Linked DNA regions of Stegostoma tigrinum. The protein of the gene in region 1 purifies or fractionates together with the protein of each later gene. This does not show direct contact. Links are inferred from orthologs where the notes say so. Each region holds a gene or a part of one and is shown in the gene's direction. Other genes may lie near its edges. The genes, in order: eed, phf19, mtf2 and aebp2.

What was found.
Region 2: the proteins of eed (region 1) and phf19 purify together in Homo sapiens (affinity purification with mass spectrometry; 8 studies listed by BioGRID and IntAct, counting the BioPlex papers as one, with this or other methods). This does not show direct contact. The link is inferred for Stegostoma tigrinum from reciprocal best matches to the Homo sapiens genes EED and PHF19.
Region 3: the proteins of eed (region 1) and mtf2 purify together in Homo sapiens (affinity purification with mass spectrometry; 3 studies listed by BioGRID and IntAct, with this or other methods). This does not show direct contact. The link is inferred for Stegostoma tigrinum from reciprocal best matches to the Homo sapiens genes EED and MTF2.
Region 4: the proteins of eed (region 1) and aebp2 purify together in Homo sapiens (affinity purification with mass spectrometry; 6 studies listed by BioGRID and IntAct, counting the BioPlex papers as one, with this or other methods). This does not show direct contact. The link is inferred for Stegostoma tigrinum from reciprocal best matches to the Homo sapiens genes EED and AEBP2.

What each region holds. Positions count from the first base shown.
Region 1 is NC_081359.1:53,541,218-53,549,463, reverse strand, and holds the start of eed (polycomb protein eed), read left to right. Parts: upstream 1-4,705; 5' UTR 4,706-4,808; coding exon 4,809-4,901; intron 4,902-8,246. UniProt on the Homo sapiens protein: Polycomb group (PcG) protein. Component of the PRC2/EED-EZH2 complex, which methylates 'Lys-9' and 'Lys-27' of histone H3, leading to transcriptional repression of the affected target gene.
Region 2 is NC_081382.1:31,455,402-31,463,538, reverse strand, and holds the start of phf19 (PHD finger protein 19), read left to right. Parts: upstream 1-5,027; 5' UTR 5,028-5,261; intron 5,262-8,137.
Region 3 is NC_081361.1:85,904,004-85,912,072, reverse strand, and holds the start of mtf2 (metal-response element-binding transcription factor 2), read left to right. Parts: upstream 1-4,787; 5' UTR 4,788-5,148; coding exon 5,149-5,155; intron 5,156-6,815; coding exon 6,816-7,042; intron 7,043-7,346; exon of another isoform or gene 7,347-7,646; intron 7,647-8,069. UniProt on the Homo sapiens protein: Polycomb group (PcG) protein that specifically binds histone H3 trimethylated at 'Lys-36' (H3K36me3) and recruits the PRC2 complex, thus enhancing PRC2 H3K27me3 methylation activity.
Region 4 is NC_081378.1:44,623,970-44,632,206, forward strand, and holds the start of aebp2 (zinc finger protein AEBP2), read left to right. Parts: upstream 1-5,203; 5' UTR 5,204-5,232; coding exon 5,233-5,711; intron 5,712-8,237. UniProt on the Homo sapiens protein: Acts as an accessory subunit for the core Polycomb repressive complex 2 (PRC2), which mediates histone H3K27 (H3K27me3) trimethylation on chromatin leading to transcriptional repression of the affected target gene.

The sequences.
Region 1 (8,246 bases):
GTACCAAGTTGTAATGCTCTGTGAAGGTCAATGCAAACACGAAGGATCAAATACCCTCCTTCTGCACAGTAACAATTCTGATTCTGTGATTTCTTCAATCCTCTCCAATTTAATATCAGGAATGGCGATATGATCACAAGCAAAAGATGTTTTAGGCAGTGATATCCTGCAGCATTTGCTAAGCAATTACTTATTCACAGATGCACATTTTAGGTTCCACTAGGACCTTGAAGGACAGTCCGGACCGATGACTGACCACACCTCTGGCTGGTCTCAGTGCTGCTCTCCAACTAACTTACCTCTAGTCCCCAGACTAGTCGCCCTGGCACTGCAGATCTGACCGTGGCCAACTCCTGGAATGTAATGATATGGAACCCCTGACCTTAACCAGTTGACTGACCATGTCCAAAACCCAGGACTGAGAAAAGACAGTGCCTTGACAGGTTGTGGTTGCACTCTTGATTAACAGCTGTTCCACTTGACTATGAAGGAACACAGATTCATTTTTGAGATATGGTCATGAGGTTGAAGACATTCAGCGTCTTAGCCACATAAGCTGCTGGCAGATGCTTAGGTGTGAATAGCAACAACTTTGATTTATCACTGCTGGCAACAATGACAAGCTAGCCATCTTTGTGTTACCTTTACTGAATCTTCTATTATCAACATCCTGGGGGTTACCAATGAGCAGAAAATGAAGTGAACTCACCAAATAACTATAGTAGCTACAGTAACAGCTCAGAAGCTAGGAATAATGCAGGGAGTAATTCACCTCCTGGCTCCCTAAGCTTGCATCCCATCTATAAGGCAGAAGTCAGGAATGTGATGAAATATTCTCTGTGTGCCTAAATGAGTGCAGCTCCAACAACACAAGACATTTGACGCCATACAGGACAAAGCATCCCTCTTGATTAACACTATATTCAATTAGTCTCGAATATTGGCTCATGCCAACCTTCATGGAAAAGGTAGTCACTGTTCAAGGAGTGTGCCCTGAAGCGTTAGGAAAGTTAACCAAGGTGAAGGGCTAGAAGTAAAAGAAAAAATTGACATTTGTCTAATTTCTCTCCACTGCATGTTAAAATTGCAACCGATATAGGAATGAGGTGAGATTGGGTAACAATGATATATTAATGCAAATTACCTCTCAACAATTATTAGCAACATTATTGTCTCACCATTAAACATCGGGTGGAAAGGCAGATGTTTTTCCCAACATAAGCATCTCAATTTATGAATGACAGATCTTGTACACCAATTTTATAACTTAAATAAAATTGGCAATTTATCATTCATAATGAAACTTCAGTAGAACACAGATAAATATCAAGATAATCGATGTAATATCTACAATCTAAAGCCCAATCTTCTTTGCTCATAATCTCTACTTGCACACAGCCAGACAGACACAGTTAATGGATAAATTAAAACAGAAAATAAAAAGTTTGTAATTTTCCAGTTCAATAAACAGCTTCCAATGATTGATACTAGGCCTTCAGGAAATTTTTGTACAATATCATTCAGCCAAGTAAAACTATACATCATGCTTAAATTCTGAAGTCACAGGTTAATGCAACCAGTTTCAGCAACTTCTAGAAGTATTACTCATATCTTATGGACTGGAATTTTTTTCTCAGAACCTTCAACAATTTGCTAACTGGACTGAAACTCGGGAATAACTAGAGGGAGAGCGAAGCCAGCAACACCTCCAAAGTTCCAAAAATCATATTGTCTCCTGCCAAAACCCAGTCAGAACAAGTTCTCCCTCGATTGGCTAATTCAACATCCAACCAGCTGCCAGCCCTGAGCATAATAACAGCACACTGTGGCTTTGGCTATAGTGACCTTAGATCAGTAATTATGTTGCATTGTCCTTCCAGGACAGTTCCTAGAAGAAAACATTTACCTATATTCTTTCTCTTTTAAAACGAGCTGTTGTTCAAATTTCAATTCTTAACTTCAAGTCACGGTTTCAAACTGTGAGAAAAGTAAAAGAAAAAAGTGATAGTCTCTACACTCCCAACAATGATAGTCATTGCTCTAGGTCATTAATTGCATTGCAAGGACTGCTAGTTCTGCTTCACAGCTTTTCATTTTGACTGGTACTGGGAAAGGAATTTGCAGCCATTATGTCTTGGAGCTATGACTGCTGTTTCCTGGTTGCTTTCAGCTGCTTTCTGCACTCTGAATATTACTAGTCCACCTTTAATTGTCTGTGCTTCAATTTCAAAATTGAATTGTAACTCCACACTGTCATATTATGAGCTCTGAACTATTGAACTTTATTCCTTTATTGAGTCTTTATTGAATGGGTGGAAAGGTGGATATCATCTTAACGCAACATAGCATTTTTATCCCAAAGAATGTTAAGATTTCTTAGAAGCTATCATGAAACCTCCATACTAACGCAATCCAACATCACAAAGAATTTTGTTCCAAAATATAACTAAAGGTTTGCACAAGAGACAGCTCCTTCCTTCAAAGCTGACACCCAAAAATATTCCAAGTTCACTTATGCATGTTTTAAAATACCAAAGAGTTTCAGTGAAAAATCCACTAAGTAGCAAAAGACACAAAGTGGAAAATTGGGCATAATGTGAGCCAGCATTCATAGCACTCATTGATATCTGAATGGTTTGTTGCTCTGATGTGGTCATTTCAGTTCGTTGGTTGATTTGTTGCACATACTGATGGAAATAGAATGTATTTCATCACACTCCTGATTTGTGCTTTGTAAATGATAAACAGGTTTTGGGGTCTAATGAGTCCTGGACATTATACCTGAAACATGAAAGAGTTCAGTCCTGGTGAGCCCATGAACCTAACCAAATTGCACACATTTAGACTGAGAAACTAACAGGCCAAAGAACCCTGTCCCGCAGGCCCGACCAATCCCCCTCCACCGACACCCTCATCCGCCTAGCTGAACTCGTCCTCACCCTCAACAACTTCTCTTTCGATTCCTCCCACTTCCTACAGACAAAGGCGGTGGCCATGGGCACCCGCATGGGCCCAAGCTATGCCTGCCTGTTTGTAGGTTACGTGGAACAGTCCCTCTTCCGCACCTACAGAGGCCCCAAACCCCACCTCTTCCTCCGTTACATTGATGACTGTGTCGGCGCCGCTTCTTGCTCCCCAGAGGAGCTCGAACAGTTCATCCACTTTACCAACACCTTCCACCCCAACCTCAAGTTCACCTGGGCCATCTCCAACAAATCCCTCACCTTCCTGGACCTCTCAGTCTCCATCTCAGGTAACCAGCTAGAAACTGATGTCCATTTCAAGCCCACTGACTCCCACAGCTACCAAGAATACGCCTCCTCCCACCCACCCTCCTGCAAAAATTCCATCCCCTATTCCCAATTCCTCCGCCTCCACCGCATCTGCTCCCAGGATGAGGCATTCCACTCCTGCACATCAGAGATATCCACGTTCTTCAAGGACCGCAACCTTCCCTGCGCTGTGGTCGAGAACGCCATTGACCGCGTCTCCCACACTTCCCGGAACACATCCCTCACACCCCGCCCCCGCCACAACTGCCCCAAGAGGATCTCCCTCGTTCTCACATACCACCCCACCAACCTCTGGATACAACGCATCATCCTCCGACATTTCCGCCATTTACAATCCGACCCCACCACCCAAGCTATTTTTCCATCCCCACCCTTGTCTGCCTTCCGGAGAGACCGCTCTCTCCGCGACTCCCTTATCCGCTCCACACTCCCCTCCAACCCCACCACACCCGGCACCTTCCCCTGCAACCGCAGGAAGTGCTACAGTTGCCCCCACACCTCCTCCCTCACCCCTATCCCAGGCCCCAAGATGCCCTTCCATATCAAGCAGATGTTCACCTGCACATCTGCCAATGTGGTATATTGTAGCCATTGCACCCGGTGTGGCTTCCTCTACAATGGGGAAACCAAGCGGAGGCTTGGGGACCGCTTTGCAGAACACCTCAGCTCGGTTTGCAACAAACAACTGCACCTCCCAGTCGCGAACCATTTCAACTCCCCTTCCCATTCCTCAGGCGACATGTCCATCATGGGCCTCCTGCAGTGCCACAATGATGCCACCCGAAGGTTGAAGGTACAGCAACTCATATTCCACTTGGGAACCCTGCAGCCCAATGGTATCAATGTGGACTTCACAAGCTTCAAAATCTCCCCTTCCCCCACTGCATCCCAAAACCAGCCCAGTTCTTCCCCTTCCCCCACTGCATCACACAACCAGCCCAGCCTGTCTCTGCTTCCCTAACCTGTTCTTGCTCTCACCCATCCCTTCCTCCCACCCCATGCCGCACCTCCATTTCCTACCTACCACGTCATCCCGCCTCCTTGACCTGTCCATCTTCCCTGGACTGACCTATCCCCTCTTCACCTGTACTCTACCTATCTTGTTTTCTCTCCATTTTCGGTCCGCCTCCCCCTCTCTCCCTATTTATTCCAGTTCCCTCTCCCCATCCCCCTTTTCTGATGAACGGTCTCGGCCCGAAACGTCAGCTTTTGTGCTCCTGAGATGCTGCTTGGCCTGCTGTGTTCATCCAGCTCCACACTTTGTTATCTTGGATTCTCCAGCATCTGCAGTTCCCATTATCACAGGCCAAAGAACCCGACATCATCACGTGAGCTTTGTGCTGCTCACAGAACTGAAACAACCTTAGATAACATTGCTTTTCCAGAAGGTCGGGATAACATTCGAAAACAAGAAAGGCCATCCTCGACGTTCACGTAATCGGATGGGTTTTGTTTTGCGACAGTCGGTAGCGCGCACGTGACTTTGTGACAACGCCAGGCTCCGCTTTGCGGATAATGTCGGAAAGTGCGGCGCGAGGGGACATGCCGACTAAGAGACAGAAATTGAGCGATGAGAACAGTAACCCGGACGTTTCCGGGGATGAAAATGTGAGTGTAGTTAACGGAAAGGTCGCTGCAGCTGTGACCATTTTCTTGTATGCTCCCCTCTGCATCCTCATCTTCGGTAGGGATGAGGAGCAGCCTCCGATGCGGCGGGAAGAACATGGAGAGTGGCAGTCTTTCGTCGGAGCCACGGTGTTGGCTTTCATCCAATCTTGATTAGCGTGACCGGGTTTAGCCTGGTGTGGCGGTGAGTGTTTGGGAGGGTGGGCGGGATTTAAACCCGGACTCACCATAGGTTCTGGGGAGCTGGAATGGACGACGCACCGACATCCCAATAACAAATGGTTGTTATTAGATAGGTCTCTGAGTATCAGGCTCAGTTTTTATATACCTTGCATTCTGATTAGTGGTAACGTGTTGTGGCTTCTAGAGTTGCCCCTACTTGCTATGAACATGTTGTTTCTGCAAACTATTGTAACCAGAATTAGCTTGGCCCAACTTGTTGAACTTGGGTTTTCTTGCTGCATGCGCTTTGACATGGCTACATACTAAGTTGGAAATTTGCTGAGCTGTGGGAAGTTGATGAATTTGGTTATTGCAATGTGATTCTTCGTTGGAGCTAAAATGCAGCTGGAAGAGGGATTATATCACTGACTCTAACTCATTTGGAGTGTCCTGCAGCAGCACTGCTCTGTTGTTGTCTGGGAAGAGTGTTTAAAAATGACATGAGGGCAAGAAGAAGTAGCTGATTGGATGAATATTTATGCTGTTCTTTATCGTTGTTTATAATATATTGACTTTAGTTTGTAAAGGTAATGGTGCAAATGTCCAAAGCAGAAAGGCTTGAGAGTAATTAATATTATTTGCTTTTAAGGGAAACCTAAGGGTTTAATTTTTAGAGGTGTGGCGATAAGCTCAGGCTTGAGGTTATAATGGGGAACCAAGAGATGGTGGATCAATTTAACACCACTTTTTGATAACAATGTGGAGCTGGATGCACACAGCAGGCCAGGCAGCATCAGAGGAGCAGGAATGTTAACGTTTCATGTTAGGACCCTTCTTCAGAAATGTTAGCTTTCCTGCTCCTCTGATGCAGCCTGGCCTGCTGTGTGCGTCCAGCTGCACACTTTGTAATCTCTGATTCTAGCATCTGCAGTTCTTAGTATCTCTCTCACTTTTTCATTCTGTGATTACAAAGAATACAAAATAATCCCCCAAAAAATGTTGGGGAAAACAGGGTGTAGTGAGGAGGGACCAATTGACAGAAATCGCTATTAATAGGTGTTGGGGATATTGAAGAGATTGAAGGCTGATAAATCCTAGGCCACAGTAATCTACATCACAGCATTCGTAAGGTTGTGACCCGAGACGTAGTGGATGCATTGGTCATCTTTCGGAATTCCATAGACTGTGGATTAGTTTCTGTGGATTAGAAAGTAGCTAATATAACCACACTTTTTTAAAAGAAAAGTGGTAGCGAGAAATTGGGGAATTATAGACCTCTCAGCATGACTTCAATAGTTCAGGAATACTAATTAGAGTCCACTATAATGATATAGCAGAACATTCAGAAACCAGTCAGTGTGGATTTACAAAAGGGAAGTTGTGCTTGATAAATCTACTGCAATTATGTAAGGATGTAACTTGTAGAGTTGATAACGGGGAGCCAGTGTTATGTGGTTTACTTAGACTTTCAGAAAGCTTTCAGTAAGGTCATAGAATCTTTACGGTATGGAAAGAGGCATTTTGGCCCATTGAGTCTGCACTCACCCACGAAAGAGCATCCTACCCTTGCCCTATGCCAGTAAGCCCGTATTTACCATGGCTAATCCACCTAGCCTGTATGTCCTAGATTCTACAGGGCAATTTAGCATGGTTGATTCACCTAACAACATGTCTGTCTTTGGACTGTGGGAGGAAACCAGACCACACAGCAGAAACCTGCACAGACGCGGCGACAATGTGTAAACTCCATCTAGACAGTCGCTGAAGGCTGGTATTGAACCCGGGTCCTGGCTCTGAGGCAGCAGCACTAAACACTGAGTTGTCTTGCTGTCTGTAATATATTAGCATGTAAAATTAAAGTACATGGGACTGGGAGTATGTACTGACATGGAGAGGGATCTGGTTGGCAAAGAAGAAATAAGTAGGAATAAATGTCTGTTTCCAAATGGCAGGCACTTATGAGTGTATCTCTCATATCAGTGCTGGGACCCCAATTATTCACAATGTATATTAATGATTTAGATGAAGGCAGTAAATGTAATATCACCAAGTTGCAGATAATACAAAGTTGTATGGGAGGATGAACTGAGAGTGCAGAGATGCTTTGGTGTGATTCAGCCAAGTTGAGTGAGTGGGGAGATGATGGCAGATGTGGTGTAGTATGGATAAGTGTGAGTTTATCCACTTTGGCATAAACAAGAAGCGAACTATTTCATGAATGGTAATAGATTGGGAACGGTGGGTAAGATGCAGTGAGATCTGGGTGTCCTTGTGTGCCAGTTGCAGAATGTGAGCATGCATGTTCAGCAAATAATGAAGATGGAAAATCATATGTTGGCCTTCGTAGTGAGAGGATTCAGGTGTAGGAGTAGGGATGTCTTGCTATAACTCGACAGGGCTTTGGTAAAACCACAGCTGGAGTATTGTGTATGCCTTTAGTCCCATCACTGAATGGATGGCCTCGCTATAGAGGGAGTGTGATTAACAGGTGTTTATCAGGTTCAGTCCTGCCGTCCGAGGAATCACATAACAAGAAACTGAAGGGTCTAGGCCCGTAACGTCAGCCTTGGTGGCCCAGTGATGCTGCTTGGCCTGCTGTGTTCATCCAGCTCTACACCTTGTTATCTCGGATTCTTCAGCATCTGCATTTCCTATTACATCTGGTTAGAATAATATTCACTTTCAGATTTATATAACACTTAGCCTAGAATTCAACTAGTAAACTCTCATTGTTTGCGGTGTATGCATAATTTGCCTCTGGTTGGTTGTTCTTTTGGTGCAGAGCTGATTTTGGTTATATGGTGCTGAGTTGAGTGGTACTTCTGTTCTTTACAGGCTTGACAGATTCTCTGTTAGAATATTACTGCTTTAACATTAGCAAATATGCATTGCAATATAGAAGAACACGAAGTTTAAAATACTGTGTTTCAGTAGGCTTCACTTTAGAATCATTGGTTTTGTTCCTTTTGTTTTTGCTCTTGCATTTGTTAACAAATTCTTTTCATCAATGAAAGATGTGAAAAGCATGCACTCTTTGCAATTCCTCTGCTTCTTGGTTTCATTGTATGATTATTACTTATGAATTTTATCATAGAGTCATAGAGGTCTACAGCTCAGAGGAAAACCCTCCTGGTCCATCAAGTTTGTATTGGTCGAAAGCAACGG
Region 2 (8,137 bases), on another chromosome or scaffold:
CATCTGTGATTAATAGTACCATCCTTCTACTTTTACCAAGCTTCCTATTTTCCTCAAATGTCCTCAAAATGCAGAACCCAATCCTTGCTGTCCTGCAGCCACGTTTCCATAATGACTACCAGATCACATTTATTTACGCCAATGTGCACCATCAGTTCATTTATTTTGTTATCTGTGCAAAGTCTAGTTTTGATTGTTGGTGTATTTTGTGTATCTGTAGGTTGTTTTTCCACTGCATCTTGCTGGCAAATATTCTCTGACATTAATTTCCCATATTATTGTTTTCTTCTCTTACCTTGCTCTTACTCTTGATACACCATATAATTTGACACTTGATCCTTTGCCCCACTATTTAGTTTAAAACCCTCTCTCTTTCCCTAGTTATGTGGTTCACAAGAACACTAGCCGCAGCATAGCTCAGGTTTTGACCAACTCAATAGAAAAGCCACCACTTTCCCCAGTACTGTTGTCAGTGGTCCATTAACTGGATCTCATTTCTCCCATACCAGTTCTCAAGCCACTTATTCATCTCTCTAATTTTATATACCCTACATCAATGTGCATGCAGTTTAAGCAATAATACAGAAATTATAATCTTTGCATGTGCATGTCCACTGTCACAAGTATCACAAAAGGTTGGACAGCTTTTAAGTAGATGAGAAAAAACTGCATCAATTACAGATTTTGTTGTTTAGTTGCATTTTGCTGATTGTAACAATAATGTTGGCTGCACTATGGCTTCATACTTAATTCCATCCTCAAGCAATGTATCAAATGAATGCCACTTTTCTTACCCAAAATATCCTTCCTAAAGACAATAACTGGTGTGGAAGCAGTCACTAATTCCACATGCCTCTCTCCAGAAAAGTTGTTTTTCTACAGCATCTTCTGACAAACTGGTCAATAGATTCTTGTGGTTGCTGTCTGTGTGACATGAGTTGGAGTCTGTTCTTCCTTAATTTAATTCTCGCCTTCATCTTGGACACCTTTCCATGTCTTTCCTTGATCTTTCTGACCATTGATGGAAACATCACGTGTTAATTCTGCAAAGCTCCTCCTTGCTAATGGCAAGCATGATTTGCAGAGCTCTTCTTGGAATCATCTGTTGCTCAATCTTCAAAATAGAACTGTATACATTGTTTGCATGATTGTATTTCAGTAAAGGTATAATTGGACATGCATTCCATAATTGTTTGCATTTCATTTTCCTTTGGAGGGTTATTGTATTTTATTTAGAAGAAGAGTACAATGCAATGTTTGCTTGTCTCATTTACTGATTTTGTTTCTCTCTCCTTTTTTCTACCTTTTGTGTCACTGTTTTCCTTTATTTTACTTGTTGCTGGTCCTTTATGCATGTTAACTTGAAAAGTACAAGTTTGTAAGTTTGAAGTCACAGGCTTGAGAGTGCTTGTGGTGCAATGGTAGTGTCACTTCTTTTGGAACAGATGATCTGTGTTCAAGTCTCACCTGTCATAACATCCTTGAACAGATTGATTAAAAATACTTCAAATTGCAGATTTCTGATCCTGGGTTGTATTTACACTAATTGGGAATTAAGACATCACTTTTTAAAAAAATTTTGACACTGATTTTTTTTACATTTACAGACACATCAGTCTCTAATCACCATAACATTAAGCTATGAAGCTACACAGCATGCTTCCATTAGTTTATCATGCTTCAAGTGATCTAGGTTAAGATGGAGTATGTGGACTTTATGCCCTTGTCATATGTCATGATACAGTGATGATACCATGAAGGTGTCTTTTGAAGGTATATTAACATATTGTATCCGTTAAAGGTATGCTGACATTCTGACTGTGAAACATAACACAACTGCAATGAGTACAGGGTAGCGTTAAAAACATATTACTATATATCAGCATACTATGTGTGAGAAGATGTACTTAGATGGTTAATTGGGGTTGTTAAAATGGTCCAATCAGGGAATCCTAGCTGACAGACATAAACAAGAGTGTCAGGGGTTCTGTTCACTACAGGAGCCTGCTCTGAGTTAGCTGCGTCAGCGTCATGTAGTATGCACATGTAAATAAAGGGTGACTTGGTGACAGGCCTTCAAGGAGTTATTTCAGATTCAAGCATAGTGCTGAATACACTAACATAGAGAAATTACTGAACATCATGGGTGGATACACCAGCTTAAACATATTGTAATCAAAAATTCAATGACTTGTGTGTCTTCATTTAATATCATACAGTGAAGGAACTCAGCATTTTTTAAAAATAAATTTGCAAATGGTTTGTTTTAAGCTCCATTTTTAAATTATCAATAACAATATCTTGATGGGTGACTGCATCATGCTTGGAATGAAATTTCAAGTAATATTTATTCATGTTTATGGGGTTATTAAAAGGAAGTCTTGAATTGATGTTGTCATTTCTGAACAAGAAATGCTTCTTCATATTTCAAAGTAGTGTCAGTTCAGAAAATAGTGTCTTTCTATGTAATCTTCAGAAAACTTTGCATTGTAACATCAAAGTTCATTCCATCATCATGTAGCTGCAATATTTTACTGATTCGAAGGTTGCTAAATAGAAAGTCTAGTTTTACTATAATATTTCAACTACAGGGCCTGGACTAAGTAAGTGTTAAACAAGTAAGCAGTGAAATGTCGATCTTTATTAGAGTCATACAGTCATTCAGCACAGAAACAGACCATTCAGTCCAACTCATCCATGCTGACCAACTTTCCCAAATCAGACTAGTCCCACTTAACCGTGTTTGGCCCATATTATTGTGAAAATCATTAATATCTCAAACATCATTTTTATGCATTTACTTACATTTTGAAAGCCTGTGTATAAAATTGAGCCTCACCTTCAATATTTCCTGCCTTCCTGTTAGCTTTGAATAATATCAATAAATAAAATGTAATTTTCATTTTACATGAAATTAAAAAACATAATTCCACAGGATGATAGTCTTTTCAAAAGATTACTTAAATGTAGAAAATATAAAATAGTGCATATTTATCAGAATAACAGACATAGTGCACGATTAAGCTGTTCAGTCTGTTTAGTTTTTGATGGCTCTCTGGAAGAATTATCCAGACAGACAAGAACAAACACCCCAGAGAAGAATATCTTCTTCCCTGCTGTTATCAGATTTTTGAATGGGCCTCTCATATATTCAGTTGATCTTTCCCTGCACTTTCTCTCTAGCTGTAACAATATATTCTGCATTCTGTTCTATTATTCTGCTGTACTTATGCATGATCTGATTTGCCTGGATGGCATGCAAAACAATACATTTCACTGTGTCTCAGTATGTGACAATGCGAAAATCAAATCAAATCAAGACTTTACCTGCAAAATCTTTACAATTCAACAATGTGCTCAGTTATCCTTAGTAATTTCCTACAGAAACTGAGTCTTTCTCCACTTTTTGAGGTAATTTCCAGAATATAAAACCCAATCTGAAAATCACTCCCATTTCCACTCTACTTCTTCTGCCAAATCTTTTAAATCTATGATCTATGGCTACTGATCCACTTACCAACAGAAATAGGCTTTTCCTGCTTGCTCCAATTTCAGAGTCATAGAGTTGTAAAGCACAGAAACAGACACTTTGGTCCAACACATACGCGCTGCTCAGATATCCCAAACTAAACTAGTTCCATTTGTCAGCATTTGGCCCATATCTCTCGAAATTCTTCCTATTCATATACTCATCTAGATGCCTTTCTTCTTCTGGAATCTCCTTCTGTATATGCACCACCCTCTGCATGAGAAAGTTGCCCCTCAGGTCCCTTTCAAATTTTTCCCATTTCACCTCAAACCTATCTTATGGATTTTCTTTCCTAGGTCTTCCCTTCTGTCGTATAAGGAGAATAGTCACAGCTTTTGCAATCTCTCTATTGAACTGAAAAACCCTATGCCTAGTATATTTTCTCCATACCCTCTTCCAGATTTAACGTCCAACCTAAGTAATGGCGTGTAAAATTGCATATAAATGTCCAGCTGAGGCCTAACCATTCTGTATTCTGTTCTATTACCCTGAAGTACTTTTGTAAAGTATGATTAGTCTGGTTAGCATGCAAAACAATACTTTTCACTGTATTGGTAAGTGACAAGAACAAACAAAATCAAACCAGTGATTTGAAAGTGTCCATAGGTAAGTGGATCAGTTGCCACATATTGTAGATTTAAAAGAATCAGCTAAAGAAACAGAGTGGAAATGGGAATTATTTTTCAGATTGGGGGTTATAATTTGGAACACACTTGGTGAAATGGATAAAGACTCAGTTTCTGTAGGAAATTACAAAGGATAACCATACACATCCTTGAATTTTGATTTGACTTTCTCATTGCGTACACAATGTCACTATTTATAAAGTAAATTTCTAGTATGCTTTCTTAACCATCTTATCAAATATGGTCAAAGATTTGTTAAAATGTATGTTGATATCCTACCGAACTGAGTAATAACTCAAAGTAATACCATTCAAACCATACAAGGTTCATTCCAAAGTGCATCATGAAGTGCACGTGCATGTTGAATCATGAAGTCGCATTTATCGGGGCATTTACGTAAAATGAACCCTGATTTTTTTTCTTCCTCGTAAAATACATACTGCGCCCAGTGTTTGGGCTGGGACCCGTTGTCACACGAACACCGCGTGAAGCATCGCGTCGATCGTGAAGGTGTTAGAGATGATGCCACATTCCAGCCGTTTTCTAGACGTCGTTCAGAATGCAAATACATCAAGAACAAAGGTGAAGATCCCTCTCCCCAAAGCGTACATACGAGCCTCATGAATTGCTACTGATATGTAATTGCATATTTATAATCTAGAAGTTGGTCCCTTCTGTCCGACAGTAAGTTCATGTGAAATGTCATCTCTGCACAGTTGGGATTTGTGGGTGAGGTTGCGGGTCGGTGAAGTTGCTTCTTGTGGGTTGGGATTTGCACTGGGCGGTGCTGAGGATGCGTGTTGCCCGGAGCCCGCACACACTCATCGCTTCAACTTCCTTATGATGATGATGATGATGATGTGTTAATCACATAAGCACACGAAAATAAATCGCGGGAAAGAGAAAAAATGGCGGCTGATGAGGCAGGGAGCTGTGAGTGTGATTGCACTTCGTGTCTGTGCCCCCCAGCAGCACCGGCGACCCCGCTTGACTGATTGCTCTGGGAAAGGACTTCTGTCGATCCAAGGGGAAAGCGTCACTTTCATCAGAAAGACTGCAGTGGAGTGGAAACGTGTGCGTCTGTGTGAGAGAGAGAGACAGAAAGGGTAAGGTTGGAGCTGGAGCAGGTTTGTCCTGCCACAGGAGAGAGAGAGAGAAGGCGGGGAAGCAGTTTGAAAAATGCACAAAAGTGTTTTGCTGTTTGATGTGAAGTTAACTGTGATTCGGATCAAAGTGTTCGGAGATTTGGAATGCAGTCTGAAGTATTCTTTTTAGCAATTAACTGACTTGCTGAAACTCTGAAACTCCAGCCGATTTTCCCCCGAATGTAAACTATCGCTCGATGATGATTTGAAGAGATGCATTTGAAATTCCATGCAAAAAATATAAAACATAGTTTTGCTCGATGACGCAAACAGTGTCAGCATGCGAATTAAAATTGATCATTTAGAAACCTTCCGAAGTATTTATCGGTTCAGGAGCCTTCCGTTCCCGCATCTGGATTTTATTTTTTTGATTTTTCAATAAAAAAATTAATGCTATTGCTAAATGTATATTGATGAACGCACTTTTGTATATTTTTCAAATTTGCACAAAACTGTTGCCTGACAAGCGGCCATGTTTGACATGTAACTCTTGTAGCTCTGGAATTAGCTCTGCACAAGTTGCATTTTATTTGCGATTTTATCTTTTGAATTTTTTTTGGCTTAACGTTTCCGACCAATTCGGACTGAATTAGAGCAGGATCTGATTAAGTGTTCTCAGATAGTGTCAAGGTTGGTTTTGGGTGGAAAGTACATTTTTTATGTATGAGCTCGGTCCTTTCTTAGCTGTGAGTGAGATAAAATTTGCGAAAAGGAAGTAACGGCGCTTCTGTCAATGTCAGGGACACAGAGAGGCCGCCAGTGACCGATCCGGCTCTGATTGACATTGAGTTGAACCACTCACAATCTCGAGAACGGCCACTGTAAACTTTGGGCCAATCAGAACCTTCAGGGGCGTGACTGGAGGTTGCGTTCTGTGTAACGTCATTGGCTGCTGCGATCCAAGGGGGCGGGTGTTTATTGGCGCGCTTTGACTTTCTCAGGAAGTGCTTGGTGTCGAGACAATCATTAATATAGGAGCAGATGACAAGCTTACTCACCTCGGTTGACATTAGCTTCACTACTGTCTGATCTGCCCTCAACAGGTGAAATCAAACTTTCAGCACGTGAAATAGTCAACAGATAACCACTTTGAAGTAACCCAACTGGACAATTGCTGTAACAAAAACAGAAATTGCTGGAAAAATTCAACTGAAGTTCTGAAGGGTCTCTGGATTCGAAACATTAATTCTGCTTTCTTTCCATAGATGCTGCCAGATCTGCTGTATTTCTCCAGCAATTTCTGTTTTTGTTTGAGATCTTCAGCATCTGCATATTTTGGTTTTATTTTAGTGCGTAAGTGCTGTATTTGAAACATTGGCAAGAATGAATGAATGACTGTGATGAATCAACAGCATTCTATCTTAGTATGAAATTGTTACTTAAAATGTATATTTTTTGGTAAAATTAAGAAGTGTAATTAATCTCAAGAATAACTGAATTCTAATATGTTTAAAATGTAACCATGATGGGGGGGGGTCACCATGGTGGCACAGCCGCACTGCAGCCTCTCAGTGCCCGGGACCCAGGTTCGACGTCAGCCTTGGGTGACTGGCTATACCGACTTTCAGCCTTCTTCCCATATCTGTATGAGTTTCTGCTGGGTGCTCTGGTTTCCTCCCAAAGTCTAACAATATGCAGGTTAGCATATCCAGGCAAGGTGGATTAACCATGGTTAGGGTAGGGGTGTGGGTCTGGAATGGGATGCATTTTGGAGAGTTGACACAGACTTCATGGATCAAAAGATCTCTATCTGCACTGTAGGGATTCCATGAGTCTATAGAAAGTAGGAGCAGGAGTAGGCCATTCAGCCCTCCGAGCCTGCGTTCAGTATGATCGTAACTGATCGTTCAAATCAGTACTAAGATAATAAAATGTGAGGCTGGACGAACACAGCAGGCCAAGCAGCATCTCAGGAGCACTGAGATGCTGCTTGGCCTGCTGTGTTCGTCCAGCCTCACATTTTATTATCTTGGAATCTCCAGCATCTGCAGTTCCCATTATCTCTCGTTCAAATCAGTACTTGCTTTTTCCCAAATCCTTTCATCTCTTTCTCTCTGAGAACTACATCTAACTCTTTCTTGAAAATATCTAAGGAGTTTATAGAATCCTAGAATGACTTTAATACAGAAGGAGACCATTCAGCCTGTCAAAATAGTGCTGGGTCTCTGCAAGAACAATTTAGTTGGTTCCAATGCCCCCATTCTTTCCCTGTGGTCTTGTTACTTCTTTCCTGTTCAGGAACTTATCTGATTCTCTTTTGAAAGCCACAATTGAATCAACATTTTTAGACAGTGCATTTCATATTCTGAACACTTGCTACATCTAAAACAAACGTAATTTTGTGTTTGGTCCTTTTGACAGTCATCTTAAATCTGTATTCTCTGGCTTTCAATGTTTCTGACAACGGGAACAGTTTTTCTTGAGCTACTCTGCTCAGACTGCTCATGATTTTAAATATCACTTTATATCTCCTGTCAAGCCTTTTTAAGGAGACCAACCCCAGCTTCTCCATTCTACATAACTGAATTTGTTCAACTAAAACCAATCTTCTAAATAGTTTCTGCACCCTCGCTAAAACATTTATAGCCTTCCTACTGAGTACCTTGATACCAGCAGCACCTTCATAAAGAGTTATGTTGCTAAGTAAGAGTTGCTCATAGAGGAATACAGCATAGAAACAGACCCTTCAGTTCAAACCCATGCCAACCAGATATTTTAAATAAATCTAGTCCCATTTGCCTGCATTTGGCCCATATCCCTCCAAGCTGTTTCTATTCATGTGCCCATCCAGATCCTTGTAAACGTTTGTAATTGTACCAGCCTCCACTACTTCCTCT
Region 3 (8,069 bases), on another chromosome or scaffold:
GGGCTGTAGGGAGGATGAACAAACTGATGATAACATCATGGTACAGGGAGAAATTTAAGAAAGGGGAGAAAAGAGAAATGTAGTTGTAATAGTCTGAGAACAGATACTGTTCTGTGGCCAGTGTTGAGAGTCCTGAAGGCTGTATTTTTTTGCCAGGTGCCTGGGTTCAGGATATCTTATCTAGGCTGCAGAGGAACTTGGAATGGGAGTGCAAATATCCAGTTGTTGCATAGGTACCAACGATATTCATAGAAAGAAGGAGGTTCTGCTGGGGCTAGGGGGAAAAGCTAAAATGTATTGTGAACAAGGTAGTAATTTCAGGATTGTTGCCTGACCCACGAGCTTATTTGTATAGGGTCAAAAAAGATTAGAGGTAAATGCGTGGCTCAAAGATTAATGTGGGGAAAATGTTTGAATTAATGGGATATTGGCAGTATTCTGGGGAAGGAAGGGGCTGTTCTGATGGAATAGGCACCATGCTGGGACCAGAATCCGGGCGAATTGCATAACCAGGGCTATGGGTGGGGCTTTAAACTTAAAAAAGTAGGCATGTGGGTTCAGTAGCATGAAAAAATTATAAAATCAAATATGGAGGAGCAGGCAGAATTGTAGGTTAGTGATGGGGTTGATTATTACCATAAAATAAAAGGGTGAGCCAGAATGTGTGACTGCCCATGTGTTTCCATGGTGCATGAAGCATTTAGTGCAAATTGTATGATCTCATATCCTTGTAACTCATGTTTCCATAATGGCCATCAAAATCAAGACCTTAATATTCAGGGATATTTTGCCTTTTGGAAAGACAGGATGGATGGAAAAAATGGTCAGTTAGCAGTGTTTTAAAAAAAAGAGATAAAATGAGGACAGCTGAGAGATGATTTGTCTTGGATGAAGATAAGTTTGTTTCAGCGGAGGGAAAAGCCAAAGAAAATATGACATTGAGAGTTAGTGTACAGACACCCAAACAGTAGTCACTGTAGGAAAGGCTGTAAACCAATAAAGAACAAGAGCATATAAAAAGAGAGCAATAATTATTTGTAGCTTTAATCTTCATGTTATGGCAACGAATTCAGGGAGTGCACCAGGGATACTTTCTCAGAGCAATATGTCATGGAGCAAACCAGGGAACTGGCTATCTTGGATCTGGTAATAAGTAATGAGGCAGGTTTAATAAATGACCTCCTGAGGAAAAGATCCTGGTAATTAGTGATCATGACAGATTTCAATTTTCAGCTCAAAAATGAGAAACTTGAGTCAGAAACAACTATGTTTAGCATAAGTGGAATTAAAATGAAGTGAGGATAGAATAATCAAAAGTGAACTAGTTGGGAAGATTAACAGGAATGACAGGATTAAATTCATCACTAGAGAAGTAGTATTAAACACACTAATTGGGGCTAAGATAACAAAGTGTGGAGCTGGGTGAGCACAGCAGGCCAAGCAGCATCTTAGGAGCACGAAAGCAGACGTTTCGGGCCTTGACCCTTCATCAGAAAAGGGGGATGGGGAGAGAGTTCTGAAATAAATGGAGAGGGAGGGAGGTGGATCCAAGATAGGTGGAGAGGACAGTATAGGTCGTCAGGTAGGGAGGGGATACGTCAGTCCGGGGAGGACAGACAGGTCAAGGGGGCGGGATGAGGTTCGTAGGTAGGAAATGAAGGTGTGGCCTGAGGTGGGAGGAGGGGATAGGTGAGAGGAAGAACAGGTTAGGGAGGCGGGGACGAGCTGGGCTGGTTTTGGGGATGCAGTGGGGGAGGGTAGATTGTGAAGCTAGTGAAATGCACATTGATACTATTGGGCTGCAGGGTTCCCAATTGGAAAGAGTTGCTGTTCCTGCAACCTTCGGGTGGCATTGTTGTGGCACTGCGGGAGGCCCAGGATGGATATGTCGTCTGAGGAATGGGAGGGGGAGTTGAAATGGTTCTGGACTGGGGGGTGCAGTTTTTTATTGCAATCTGAGTGTAGGTGTTCTGCAGAGCGGTCCCCCAAGCCTCTGCTTGGTTTCCCCAATGTAGAGGAAGCCACAACGGGTACAGTGGATGCAGTATACCACATTGGCACGTGCAGGTGAACATCTGCTTGATGTGGAAAGTCATGTTGGGGCCTGGGATGGAGGTGAGGTTGGAGGTGTGGGGGAAAATGTAGCACTTCTTTTGGTTGCACGGGAAAGTGCCGGGTGTGGTGGGGTTGGAGGGGAGTGTGGAGCGAACAAGGGAGTCACGGAGAGAGTGGTCCCTCCGGAAAGCAGACAAGGGTGGGGATGGAAAAATGTCTTGGGTGGTGGGGTTGGATTGTAGATGGCGGAAGTATCAGAGGATGATGTGGTTGTTCCGGAGGTTGGTAGGGTGGTGTGAGGACGAGGGGGATTGTCTTTTGGTGGTTATTGCAGGGACAGGGTGTGAGGGATGAGTTGTGGGAAATGTGGAAGACATGGTCGAGGGCATTCTCGACCACTGCGGGGCGGGGGGGGGGGCGCGTGTGGTTGGGGTCCTTGAAGAATGAGGACATCTGAGATGTACAGGAGTGGAATGCCTCATCCTGGGAGCTGTGGTGGAGGCGAAGGAATTAGGAATAAGGGATGGAATTTTTGCAGGAAGTTGGGTGGGAGGAGGTGTATTCTAAGTAGTTGTGGGAGTCGGTGGGCTTGAAATGGATATTGGTTTCTAGGTGCTTGCCTGGGATGGAGACAGAGAGGTCCAGGAAGGTGAGGGATGTGTTGGAGATGGTCCAGGTCTAATGTTCCCTAGTCTGATTGACTTGCATCCTAAAAATGGTAGCTACAGCGATAGTGGGTGCATTGTCTATAATTGTCCAAAGGCTTTTGATTCTAGCTAAGTACCAGATGATTGCAAAACTGTCAGTGATACCCCTATTCAAAAAGGAAGGGAAGCAAAAGTGGATAACTAGGCTGATTAGCCTAATATATATTGTTGAAGTAGATCATTTAAGGACGAAACAGAACACTTGGAAAAACATAATTTAATCAAGCAGAATCAACCTGACTTTATGTGGGGGAGATTGTGTCTGACTAAATTAGAGTTTTCAAGGAAGTCTCCAGGAGAGTGAACAGAGGAAACTTAAGTGTATTTTATTTGGACTTCCAGAGGGCATTCAACAAGAAACCTCACAAAAGAATAAGTCGTAAGATAAGAGCTTATGGTGTTGTGTGTAGGATATTGACATGGATAGAGAATTGGCTAATGGGTAGGAAATAGTGAGTGGAGATAACAGATTCTTTTTCACGTTGGTGACCTGTGACCAGTGGAATTCCATGGGTACCAGTGTTGGGGCTGCAACATTTTTGCAATATATATTAATGATTTGAATGGAGGAAGCAAATGTAATATAGCCGGATTTGTAATGCTCTCAAAATAGGTGGAAGGTCAGGTTGTGAGAGAACATAAACAGTTTAGAGAGATACAGATAAGTGGGGAAAATGTTGGCGAAATAGTACAATGTGGAAAAGTGTAAAATGGCTCATTTTGGAAGGGAGAACAAAAGACCAGGATATTAAAGGGAAAAAGCTGCAGCACAAAGGGACTTGAGGACCCTTGTGCATGAAGCACAAAGCTGGCGCACAGGTGCAGCCTGTAATCAGGAAGGCCAATAGAATGTTGGCCCTTACTTCAAGGGGGTTGGACTATCTAAGTAGGGAATTCTTTCTGTGAATGTACAAGGTACTGGTGAGACCACGTCTAGAGTACTGTGAGCAATTTCAATTCACTTATTTAAGGGAAGACATATTTTGTTGGGGACAGTTAGAGAAGTATCATTAGGTTGATCTGTGGCATGGGCGGATTGCCTTAGAAGTAAAGGTTAAAATGGTTGGGACTCTACTCGTTGGAATTTATAAGAATGGAAGGTGATTTCATTGAAACACATTCCAAAGGGGTTTGGCAGGAAGTTCTGGAAGGATGTTTCTTGTCATGGGAGACCAGAGTGCATTGTCTCAGAATTAAGAGGTGCCAATTTAAAACTGAGATGAGGAATTTTTTCTGTCAAATAGTTGTGAATCTTTGGAACTCCTTGCCACAGAGAGCTGTTTGGGGGCAAAGTCTTTGTGTATATTTAATGCTGAGAGAGTTTCTTGTTCAGTAGAAGAATCAAAGGTTATGGGGAATGGCAGGAAAGTGGGTGTGAGTACTGTCAAATTTGCCATGATTGTTTTGAATGACAGAGCAGACTTGAGGGGCTGAATGGCCTACTTTTGTTGCTTTTTCTTTTGGTCTTGCAAATTAAACTGTCAGAGCAGTGAGTGGCATTTAAGGAAAAAATTAGTGTGCAGGGCAGATTGTTAACCGTAAAGACAAAGGGCAAGACCAAGCCTGGAGGACATTTAAGGCTGGGATTAAGAATCAAAAGCCTTTGGCAGATATCAAAGGCTCAATAGGGGAAAGTCCCTTGAGAAGTATGAAAAGTGCAGTTGAGACGAAACAGGAAATTAGGAAACCAAAGACAATGTAGGAGAAAGTATTAGTGAGTAGAGTAAAATCAAAATGTGTTTTTAAAATGTATACGTACGAAGAGAAAACCAGGGAAAGAGGGGTCCCAGAAGGACCCTGGGCGTAATCTGTGTAGACACGGACACAGTCCTGAAGATTTTGTCAGTCTTCACGGTGGAAAAGGACAACACAGTATAGATATCCGGGTTGGGGACTGTGAAATATTAGGAGAAATTAATATCAAAAGAAAGAGGAAGTACTAGCAGGTTTTAAGGTTGTGGGGAGTGTTGCTTAATAAAGAGACGCTGGAGTGCAGTTTCGTAGTTCCATCAAAGTACAGCCACCGGTAGAAAGGATATGAAGGAGACATTTGGTGTGCTCACCTTTATCGGTCAGTGCATTGAGTATAGGAGTTGGGAGATCACTTAGCAGCCAATATAGGATGTTGGTTCAGCTGCTTTCGGAATACTGCAATCGATTTTGGACTCCTTGCGAGAGGAAGGATGTCGACGCAACATTGAGGGCCGAAGGGCCTGTTCTGCGCTGTATTGTTGTATGTAAACTAGCAGGTTTTAAATACCTGCTAATAAATATTTGTCTTAAGTACATAAAACTGCAAGCCTGGATGGGATGTTTCCTCGCCTTTTGAAGGAGGCAGCAAAGGAGACACTGGCAGCCCTGGCAGAATTTTGAAATTTCTTTTCTGATGGCAGGTGAGATGTTCGAGAATTAGAGGTCTTTTCACATTGTCTGTTATTAAAAAAGTGGGAGTCATAGTTGAGAAAATCAGATCCCATTTGGAGGTTAGGGTGTTATTAGCAGTAGGAGTATGAAATATTGCTGCACTTGGAGAGACTTTGTCTTTGTCTGATTAATTGGATTTTCTAAGGTAATGTCATGATTGACAAATTTTAATTTTTTTGAAGAGGTCTGGAGTATCGATTTAAGGTGCTACATTTGATATGATTAGCAGGAATTTCAGCAAGGTTTTTGATAAGGTCCCTCATATCAGACTAGTTAAAACCAAAAGACAGAGCCTGTGGGATCTAAGGGAAAGTGTTACAACGGATCTAACACTGGCTGAGAGGCAGGAAGTAGAGAGTGATGGTTCAGGGATATTTCTGTGATTGGAAGTCATTCCATCAAGGTTCTGCAGAACTCCTCCTGGGGAGGAGTTAGTGATTTGGGCGTAGATACAGGAGGTGTGATCAAGACATTTTTGGGTGACATGACGGTTGATGGTGGTAAATAATGATGAAGATGGCCATAAACTGCTAGAGGACACTAACAATTGTCAGGTGGACAGAGCAGTGGCAAATTGAATCAACAAAGAAATGCACTTAGTGGGGACCGACAAGTCAACGGGTTACATTATGAATAATGGGATCCGGGAATGTACTGAAGGTTGGAGGGGCCTTGATGTGCATATCCGTAATCCTTAAAGATTGAACTGGTAGGTGATGTGTTTAAGACGACAACTGAGATTCTTGTCCTTATTAGCTGAACCACAGAATGTGAGGTGTGGCGATTATGCTGGGACTGTACAAGGCTCTGTCTGGATCACAACTGGAGTACTGCATACAATTCTCGTCACTAACATAGGAAGGATGTGATTGCACTGCAGAGGAGGTTTACCAAGACGTTGCCTGGGTTGGAATATCTGAGCAAAAAAAAAATTGAATAGATTGGAGTTGTAAAGAAGATTGAAAAGATGTATGATAGAGTTATGTATTAGACTGAAGGGCATGGGAAGGGTGGTTAGGAAGGCACTTTTTTCTGTCGGTAGAGGGCTCAATAACTAGGGAGCATGGATGAAGTTAATAGGTAGAAATTTAAAGGGAAGATTGAGGAGGAGTGTTTTTTCTTGGGTCATTTGCGTCTGGAACTCACCTTGTTTGTTTGATCAAATATTTATCAATGAACTTATGTACCAAGTGTTGAAAGGCCATTAAATCATTTGATGAGGAGGTACAGTTGATTCTTTCTGCAAAAGATGCAAAGTTAGATGGATGTAACAAATCAGAACAATTTCCCTTCCTAATTTGGGAAATTGATTGGTGTACTAATTCCGTAGTGCATAATTGATTTAGCTACTCGAGCGTAGACTGAGAAATGGAATTTGTGATCTGTACGGCATTGGTAACTTGAGATAAGTTGAGCCAGTTGGGGTGGGGTGTTTTTTTTTTGGTAAGACTTTAACTCTTTGTAGGGTGTTACGTTTAAGCTAATTTCAAAAGGCCCCAGTGTGATCAAATTTAGCAACTGTTGTATCAGACATATGGTAACTTTGTGCAGACCATCAGTAATTTACAGTGGCAAATAATACAGAAATGAGTTGTTCTGGAATGGCTCATTTTGAACTTTAAATTTCAGTTGATGATGCTATTTTCCTGATGGACAAAGACACTACGGGAGCAGGTAACTCATCTCTCCACAAGCGATCTCCCTCCCGTCGAAACCAGAAGACACCAGTGTCCTCTGTTCGATTGTCATTGCAGGATGGATCAAAAGGAAAAAAACCTGTATGCAAGTTTGAGGAAGGCCAGGATGTCCTAGCCAGGTGGTCAGATGGCTTATTTTACCTTGGAACTGTCATAAAGGTGAATAACTATGCTTAAGCTTGGCAAAAGCAGGGAGCACGCCATTTTGAAGCATTGTTGATTAATGTGGAGCACTCATAAGTTAGTCATGTAAAAGAAATTATTCCTGCATTGAGCAGGACAGTGGGTAAATGCTAAATCCAACAATATTATTTACTTTTGTGTTAAACTTTTCAATAATTATCGGAGAAATGTTTCAGCCGTTACAGGAATTCAGCTGGCGACACCGAGTAGACAAGTCTTGTTGAGCATTTACAAAATGTGGCCAGACATGAGAGAATTTGAGCACAAGAAATACCTCCACCCTAAACACGTACAAAAGTTTGTTAGTTGCTTGTTCTCTACTCTATCCGTTGGATTCAGCTGACACGCTCCTTGGTCTCCTTATTGTGATCTGTGATTGTGTACCATCATCCAGCGTGCTGTTTCTGTACTTGGTTATTCTTTATGATGCCAGTTGTCCTTTCTGCTTTCTTAGCTTACCTATTCCCCGTTGCTGTTTCTTCTATCAGCTGCAGTGTTTTGATCTTCCTGGATGCTTGGGTGTTTGGTTCAAAGACTGTCCCTGATAGAAAATTGATTTGCCTTCTTTCATCTAATGCTCCTAATAAAGAAAAGGTGTATTTCAGTTATTTGGATCCTAAAGTTCAAAATATTGAAACACTGTATTTGTGCAAGAGAAGAAAATTTACCCAAAGATTAGATCGGAAGGTGTTGACTATCCTGCTTTATTTACATGATGATGTAAATAGTATCAGTGGTTGTGCCCCTGTTTTGTAAAACAGCTGTTGTTCCAAACAGTTAATTGTCACTCAAGGGTGGGTAATTACAACTAGAAATGTTTTTTAAATTGTGCCATTCTGTTTTTTTTTGGTTTTGATCTTGATTGCAACCACTAAACAGTGTTCCATTATTCCATTCCTAAGCCTTTGGAGAGGATATGAGATGTCCTTTCCGTACCTGATGCCTAATGAACCTAATAAAGGAGAAATGCTAGGCTAGTTTGAAAAGAATTGTGGTACAAAAA
Region 4 (8,237 bases), on another chromosome or scaffold:
ATACTCACTTTATCTACCTGTCCTGCTGTCTTTAAGGATCTGCAAACATGCATACCAGGGCCCCTCTGATCTTTTGTACATCCTGGAGCAATACCATTGAACACAGTCATACTGGACGGAAACAGACCCTTCAGTCCAATTTGTTCATGCCAATCAGACATCCCAATCTGACCTAGTCCTATTTTGCGAGCACATGGCCCTTATTCCTCTAATCTGTTCCTGTTAGTATACCAATCCAGATGCCTTTTATTGTGCCCACTTCCACCACTTCCTCTGGTAGCTCATTCCATACACTCTGTGAAAAAGTCACACCTCAGTTCCTTTTGAAATCTTTCCCCTCTCATCTTAAACCTATGCCTTCTAGTTTTGGACTCCACCATCCTAGGAAAAAAATAATTTGCCATTCACCCTGTCCATGCCCCTCATGATTTTATAAACTCTATAAGGTCACCCCTCAGTCTCCTTTATTACCAAATAAAGTCCGAGCCTATTCAGCCCCTCCCTATAACTGAAACCCTCCAGTCCCAGCACCATCCTTGTAAATCTTTTCTGCACCCTCTCAAGTTTAAGAATATCTTTTCAACAGAAGGGTGACCAGAATTGCACACAATATTCTAAAGGTGACCTCACCAACATCTTGTACAGCCACAACATAATATCCGAACTCCTATAATCCATGTTCTGACCAATGAAGGCAAGCATACCAAACACCTGTTCACCTCTGACTCCACTTTTAAAGAACCACACACCTGCACCCCTAGGTCTCTTTGTTCGGTAAGGGGCCCTAGTCTTGAGAGAACTTCAAAAAGCATCAGCTCAACTCTTCAGGTTTAAATTCTGTTTACCTCTGTTCAACGCATTTATATTTTCTTGTAATCTAAGGATTTCCTTCTCAGCATTTAACACACCATCAATTCTCACATCTTTTCTATCACGTATCTCTGAAACTTTAATTCATATTTGTGATCAAGTCAAGAGCTGCATTTCTGTAATTTGCTCCTTATTGGTCTTCCCATATCTGGCAACTACTGCAGCTGCCTGAACACTGCAACCTCTGCTCTACTAATACAATGACCCTGTTGTTACCATCTCCATCATCTCTGGTCGTCAAGATTGTTTCTTTCACCTTCATGGCCTCAACTTCCTCTACACTATGTGTTATTTCATTCAGTGGCTGCTGCTTAAATACTGGAGTGCAATGAGTACATTTCAAAAGTACAGAAATTGCTGAAGAATCTCAACAAATCTGGCAGCAACCGTGGAGAAAAAGCAGTAACCCTTCTCAAAATGAGTATATTTATTGGCTACAAAGCTCTCTGGGGATATCTGGGGTCATGCAGGATGCTATATAAATGACTTTTTTTTCTTTTATTTCTTATTCCCCAATACTTCTCCAAATGTCAGTGAACTCACCTTATTGTTTATGTCAGTGTTCTTGACAGGGTCTCACTTCATTGCCAGTTCACCATATCGCTCCCTCGTGTCGCAGCCATTATTTTTCCCGTCAACATATAAAACAAATTATAAAGACCATAAGACATAGGAGTGAAAGTAAGGCCATTTTGGCCCATCAAGTCCACTCCGCCATTTAAATCATGGCTGATGGGCATTTCAACTCCACTTCCCTGCACTCTCCCCGTAGCCCTTCATTCCTTCTAAGATCAAGAATTTGTCGATCTCTGCCTTGAAGGCATCCAACATCCCGTCCTCCACTGCACTTCTTGGCAATGAATTCCCCAAGCCCACCACTCTCTGGCTGAAGAAATGTCATCTCATTTCAGTTTTAAATTTACCCCCTCTAATTCTAAGGCGGTGCCCACAGGTCCTAGTCTCCCCGCCTAACGGAGACAGCTTCCTAGCGTCCACCCCTTCTAAGCCATACATTATCTTGTAAGTTTCTATTAGATCTCCCCTCAACCTTCTAAACTCTAATGAGTACAATCCCAGGATCCTTAGCCGTTCATCATACGTTAAACCTATCATTCCAGGGATCATCCGTGTGAATCTCCACTGGACACGTTCCAGGGCTAGTATGTCCTTTCTGAGGTGTGGGGCCCAAAATTGGACCCAGGTCTTTATCACATTGCTGTTTGAGGCTGCCATGTGCACATTTGCTGTTGCACTTCCTACACTACAACAATCACACTTTACAAAAACATCCTTCATTGGCTGCAAAGTGCTTTGAATTGTGCGGTGGTCAGGAAAAGTGCCATAAATTGGAAATGTAAGTCTTTTCTTTAAATCTTGCTTGTTCCTCTTCAGCAGCATCCACTTTCTAAGGGATTTTGAAACGTCAGTGTAATTAGACTGGACTCTGTGCTCGAGACAGGATCTGACCAAAGCCCTCAGTGGTAACAAGGTTATTTGTTCCAGTTCTGATGAAAAGTGACAGAGCTGAAAAAGTTAAGTTTATTTCTCTATCGACAGCCTGACTTGCTGGATATTTCCAATAATTTTTTTTGATTTCAGATTTTTAACATCCACAGTGCAAGTATTTTTCTTTTTCAATCTCAGCCAATCCATCTTCATTCAGCATAGTACTTACAATTTCATAGCTCGGAAGAAGGGTCACTGCTTTTTCTCCACAGTTGCTGCCAGATTTGTTGAGATTCTTCAGCAATTTCTGTTTTTGTTTCAGATTTATATTTAAAACTGCTTGAAGGCACTGGGTTCACTAATTCACTGTGCTGGCAGAATAAATACAAAATTTAATCTGATCAGCACTTTCAGTTTAATTTTTTTTTCAATATAATTTCCATTCAGTTAATTGTCCTACCCTGATTACTTTTTAAGAGACCAAAAAGTGCAGATAGTGAACGTATAAAACTGTTTCAATAGCATCTCTGCAAAAAAAAAAAGGTTAATATTTTAGGTTTGTAAAATTATATCTTCGATCTTCTGATGGAATAAATCCAGACAGTAAAGGAAGCTATAAAGAGGACATTAGGAGGTCCACAAAGGAATCTAAGTAGGTTGAGGGTCAGCAAGATCTGGTGAATAAAGTACAATGTGGGAATACATGAATTTTTTGCATTTTGGTAAGATAAGAATGGTGAGAGACTGCAGAACCCTGGGATGCAGAGGGCTCTGGGTGTCCTCATGCATGAATCACAATATTAGTATGCAGGCACAGCAAGTAAAAATTAAGAAAGCTGATAGAATTGTAAATTTATTGCAAAGAAAATTGGATGCAAAATTTGCAAGGGTACACTTCTGTTATATAAGACAGTGAGACTGCATTTGCAGTATTATGCACAGTATCAGTCAGCTTATTTCAAGGAAGGATGTAAGTGCATTAGAAGCACTTAAGAGAAGGTTTACCCAAAATGTCTTATCAGGAAAGGTTGGACAGGCTACATTTGTATCTAAGATAACAATGTGTAGAGCTAGATGAACACAGCAGGTCAAGCAGCATCAGAGGAGCAGGAAGGCTGACATTTCAGGCCTAGGCTCCTTGTATCTAGAGTTTAGAACAACATAATATCCGAACTCCTATAATCCATGTTCTGACCAATGAAGGCAAGCATGCCAAACACCTTTTCACCTCTGACTCCACTTTTAAAGAACCACACACCTGCACCCCTAGGTCTCTTTATTCGGTAAGGGCCCCAAGTCTTGAGAGAACTTCAAAAAGCATCAGCTCAACTCTTCAGGTTTAAATTCTGTTCAAGCCACTAAGAGACAACTTGATCGAAACATGCAAGATCCCGAATGAGGGTTCTTGTGGTGCAATGGTGGCGTCCTTGTTTCTGACCCAAGTGTCTGGATTCAAATCTCATCTGCTTCAGAAGTGAGTAATCATACCTTTGAACCGAAAATATCTATAAAACCCTGAAGAGTTTTCAGAATGGATGTGGATAGGATATTTCTTCTTACAGAACTGGAGGTTACTGTTTAAAAATAAGGCATTTTCCATTTATAACACAGATGAGGCACAATGTTTTTCATCCCCTCCTCCAAGGGTGGAGTCTGTTTGAACCTTCCTGAAAAGTTGTGGGAACAGTGTCCTTGAATACATTTAAGGCAGAGGTGCATTGATTCTTGTTAAATGAAGAGGGTGAAAGTTTATCAGGGCTAGGTGGAAATTTGGGTTTGAGGTTACCATCAGATGCACAATGACCTTGTTGAATGGCAGAGCAGGCTTGAGAGACTACATCACCTACTCTAGGTCCTTGTTGGAATGAAACATCAAATATAACAATGACCAGAATTTATTTCTTCTAATGTTAGTTGCACAGACAAGCAAGAGACCAGACCATTGGCACTGTACCTGGAAGGGATACAACACAGATATGTGCACACATAGACATATAGTGTTTAAACTTTAACTGACACACACGAAGGGAATGTTTGAAAAATTCAACAGGCCTATTAACATCTATGGAGACAGAAACAAAGTTGACATTTCCAGTCTAGTAAGATTCTTCTTCAGACAGCTTAAACTTTAGCTGTTTTCCAAACACTGCAGAGCTCTTCCCAACTTGCCGATGTTCATAGTTCTGTTTTTCTATACAGAAAAACAAAAATCAAGGACTGTGGATGCTGGAAATCAGAAACAGAAACTGAAATTTCTGGAAAGACTCAGCAGGTCTAGTACTATCTGTGGAGAGAAAACAAAGTGAACGTGAACAACCCCCAAGGCTTGGTGAATTTTGCTTCACGTTGATGGCAACAGCCGACATCGAAGGAGCAAAACGCCACTTCTGCCGCGACAAGCCAGTCAATCATCGCTGTGGTAACTTTCTGACACCTGCTGCTGAAAACCCAAGAGGTCAGAAGGGTCTGGAGGCTGTGCTTTCACGGCCTGCATTCGGACTGAAAACGATCATTAGGTTAGCTTCTGCGCCATGGGACGTTTCTGTCACTTATTAGCTCGCCTTAAGACACCTGCGCGACGGTGTGACACTCTACCTTCACTCCATAGACCTCTGAGATTTTGCAGCAATTTCTATTCGTACCCACAATTTGGATATTGCAGTTGTAGCCCACACACAGTAAACACCTCCCACCTCATCCCTGCGAATCCACGAGCGGCACAAACGGTCGACTACCGCCCCGCCCATAATCATCACGCAGGCGCGCTGTTGCCTGTTTGCCCCATCCCCACGCGCGCACTGCGCAGGCGCATAGAGTCAGATTCGCACCCACCCCGTCGCTCACGGCCCCGCCCCCTCCTACTGAGCAGGCGCGCTGGTGGCACGTGACCGTCCGGGCTGGAGCCGCGCGGGGGAAATGGCCGCAGCCGCCGCTCCGTCCCTCAGCGCCATCGCTAACGACACTCAGAGTCAGGTGGCGGTGGTGGCAGCAGGGGGGACTGGTAAGAGCTGCCGCTCGGAAGCCAAGTGCGGCGGTGTTGGTAACGCCGGCATTGGTAGTAGCCGTTCCCAGGCCGTTTTGAGGCAGCAACAGCAACAACAACTCCGGCAGCGGCGGGACGAGGAGGAGAGTGAGCCCGAGGCTGGCGGCCCGCAAGCTTCAGGCTCCCCAAGTGGACACAGGGCCACGGGGGCTTCCAACTCCGGGCCGTCCCGCAACCTTCCTCAACAGCAGCAACAAGCGGCCAAAAGCTGCACCGGGGCCCTCAGGTGCGGCCAGCAGCAACAACGGGGCCGGGAGGAGGCGGCGGCCGCTGTGGCAGCTGGTAACAGGAGGCAGAGTCTGGAGAACTCGTCAGACGGGGAACCACTGAGCCGCATGGACTCAGAGGACAGGTGAGGGAGCGGGGGTTAGGCACTCTCCGGTCTTACCCCGGGGCTCAAGCTTCTCAGACGAAGCTGCAGTGGAGACCTTTCTTCTCTTATCTACCGTCTCCCTTCCAGCCGTCGGGCGATTCAGACTCTTCCCCACCCCCTCGCTCTTGCCCTTCTGCTGTCCCGTACTCTGCTGAAAGAACCGAAATAGCTGTCCCCGATTCAAAAGCGTTCCTTTTTTTGTCTCCCCAGCTCTTGAATTCAATTGCCGAAAAGTATTCGTTCTTTCAAACTAATGCCCTTTTGTCGGAAAGGGTACTTGTAGGTTTTGTTGTTGGGGGAGAGTATAAAATAAAATAGAAAACATACTCTTAGCCCTGCTTTTTATCGGAGTTTTTGGGGTAGCGGAGGTGGTGGCGGCAGTGTTCTGTGAAATTTACACGACGCCTTCTCGGGAGTTTTGAGGTGTTCTCATCTTTGTTATGAGATGGCGCTTTCCGAGTTAAAAAAAAAACACCTGGAAAAGCCCAACTCTGTGTAACCGTAACCTCAGTTGACTTGGTCATACCGATGACTTTTAATGTCGGCCATTCAGTAAGCAAAAGATTAGTCATAGTCCAGAATAAATCATACGTGCCCTCATTGTGTTTGTTTCAAATCCCCACGCAGATGTGATTTATGCATCGGCCTTTTAAGCTACAGCTTTTGCCGTAACATCGTGTCAGGTTCGTAGAAATGCAAAGCAGTGATTACTAGCGATACGTTTGTCTTTTAATAGGGCAGATCTCGCCTTTAAAATAGTGTTTTCGCGCAGCTGACACTTTGGATCCGAGTTACTGATATTCAGCGTCGCGTTTTAAATATGAAAAGTTGACTCTGTCAGCTTCGCTCATTTGGTAAACTTGGATCTGACTCAAGGTCGTGGGCTCAAACCCCACACCAGTAATTAAGCATGTAATCTAAGGTGACACATCAGTGGGAAAGCTGTATTGTCAAAACTGATCGCATTCAGATGATGTGAATTAAGGCATAAAAGATCTGGAACTCTGAAGAGGAGTGACTTCACCCAGTTTCTAAGCAATGATCCCTCCTTCCTCTGATAACCGCATGAGCTCATAAACAAATTAAAAACTAATTTGATGAATAGTTAATCTACATATGAGCGTTTCAAATTAATCTGACCGTGAAGTACTTGGGGATGTCCTGAGAAGGTTGGTGCCGTCCAGGGGAATGTTCAGATGAATTAAACTGATTTCAAAGCTGTTGGTTGTCCTTGGAACTTGATAAAGCATTAGTATCAATTCTGTTCATAAATCGTTGTAACTTGATCCAAAGTAAGAGCAGATCATTCTTGTTACGGCACAATGTAAGTAAAACGTAATTGTAGATTGTAATTTCTGTGGTGTAGGTAAATGTACAAAGTTGTGCTTTTGCCATCTTATGAGCAAAAATTGACCATTCTGGGAGGAACTTAATGACTTCTTTCAGGCTGACAGACTGATATCATAAATTTTGAAATATATTTAAATTATTGCATTGTTATATAAGCAGATATATATTTTGTTTCCAGATCTCTCATGGTAGGAGTAATTCTTCAGATTTGTTTGCATTTTAAAGGCTGATTGCAATAAAATTAAACTGTCCAAAATTACCAGTAGTGATTAGTTTACGTTGTTGCAATCAAAAATCAAGCTACAATCGATTTAATATTAGTAAAGAAGTCAGTGAATTTATCAGGTGACAGATGACAAAATGTGTATTTAGCAGCACTGTTTATTCATGGCAATTTGTGGTATAGTTGTATGTATTTTGAAATAAATTATATTAGGTATATTTTCATGTTACTTGTTGATCTTGTACATCACGCTGCTGAATCTCTACAACTGCCTAAACAGGTAAAATGCTGTTCGAGAGAATTTTTACACCAGCATTTATGTCTTGGTTTAATTTGAATGTGACATGAGCTTTGAAATAAAAAGAACAAGCTCTTGCTCAAATTGGATAATTTTCAAAAGCTCTTTTTAATGTTCAAAGATATTCTTTGAAGTCAGAATTATATACAAGACTTAGATTTGCAGACAGCTTTAGAATTGAGGAATTGGTGTGATATTTACCCCAGAGCCTTGTGTGCAACTATAGTTTAGTAATATGTTCAACGGTATTGTGTACATTTAATGTTCCCTTTGTTTCTCAGTGCTTTGTGGCTGCTACTTGTTACTGTACTTTGACTAACTAAAGGTGAGGTAACCACTATTAGTCATGTTGATGTGACCAAACACTACTTGGTGTCACTTTTGCTCAGCATAATTATATGGCTTCCAAGTGGATGTGTGTGAAAGAGAACAGTTGTACTTTGGAACAGGACAGTCATGTGCAGCTTTGAGTTCCCAATGTTTCCCAGTCTCTTGTCTGTTTTTGGAGGTGGAAATAATCATATTCTAAGGTTTGTGATAGGGTTTTGATGGGCATACAGGTAACTGCTCAGGCCCAGCATACAACCAGACAATTCTCTTGCCAATAATCCAAGACACTTGAGTTTTAGAAGAA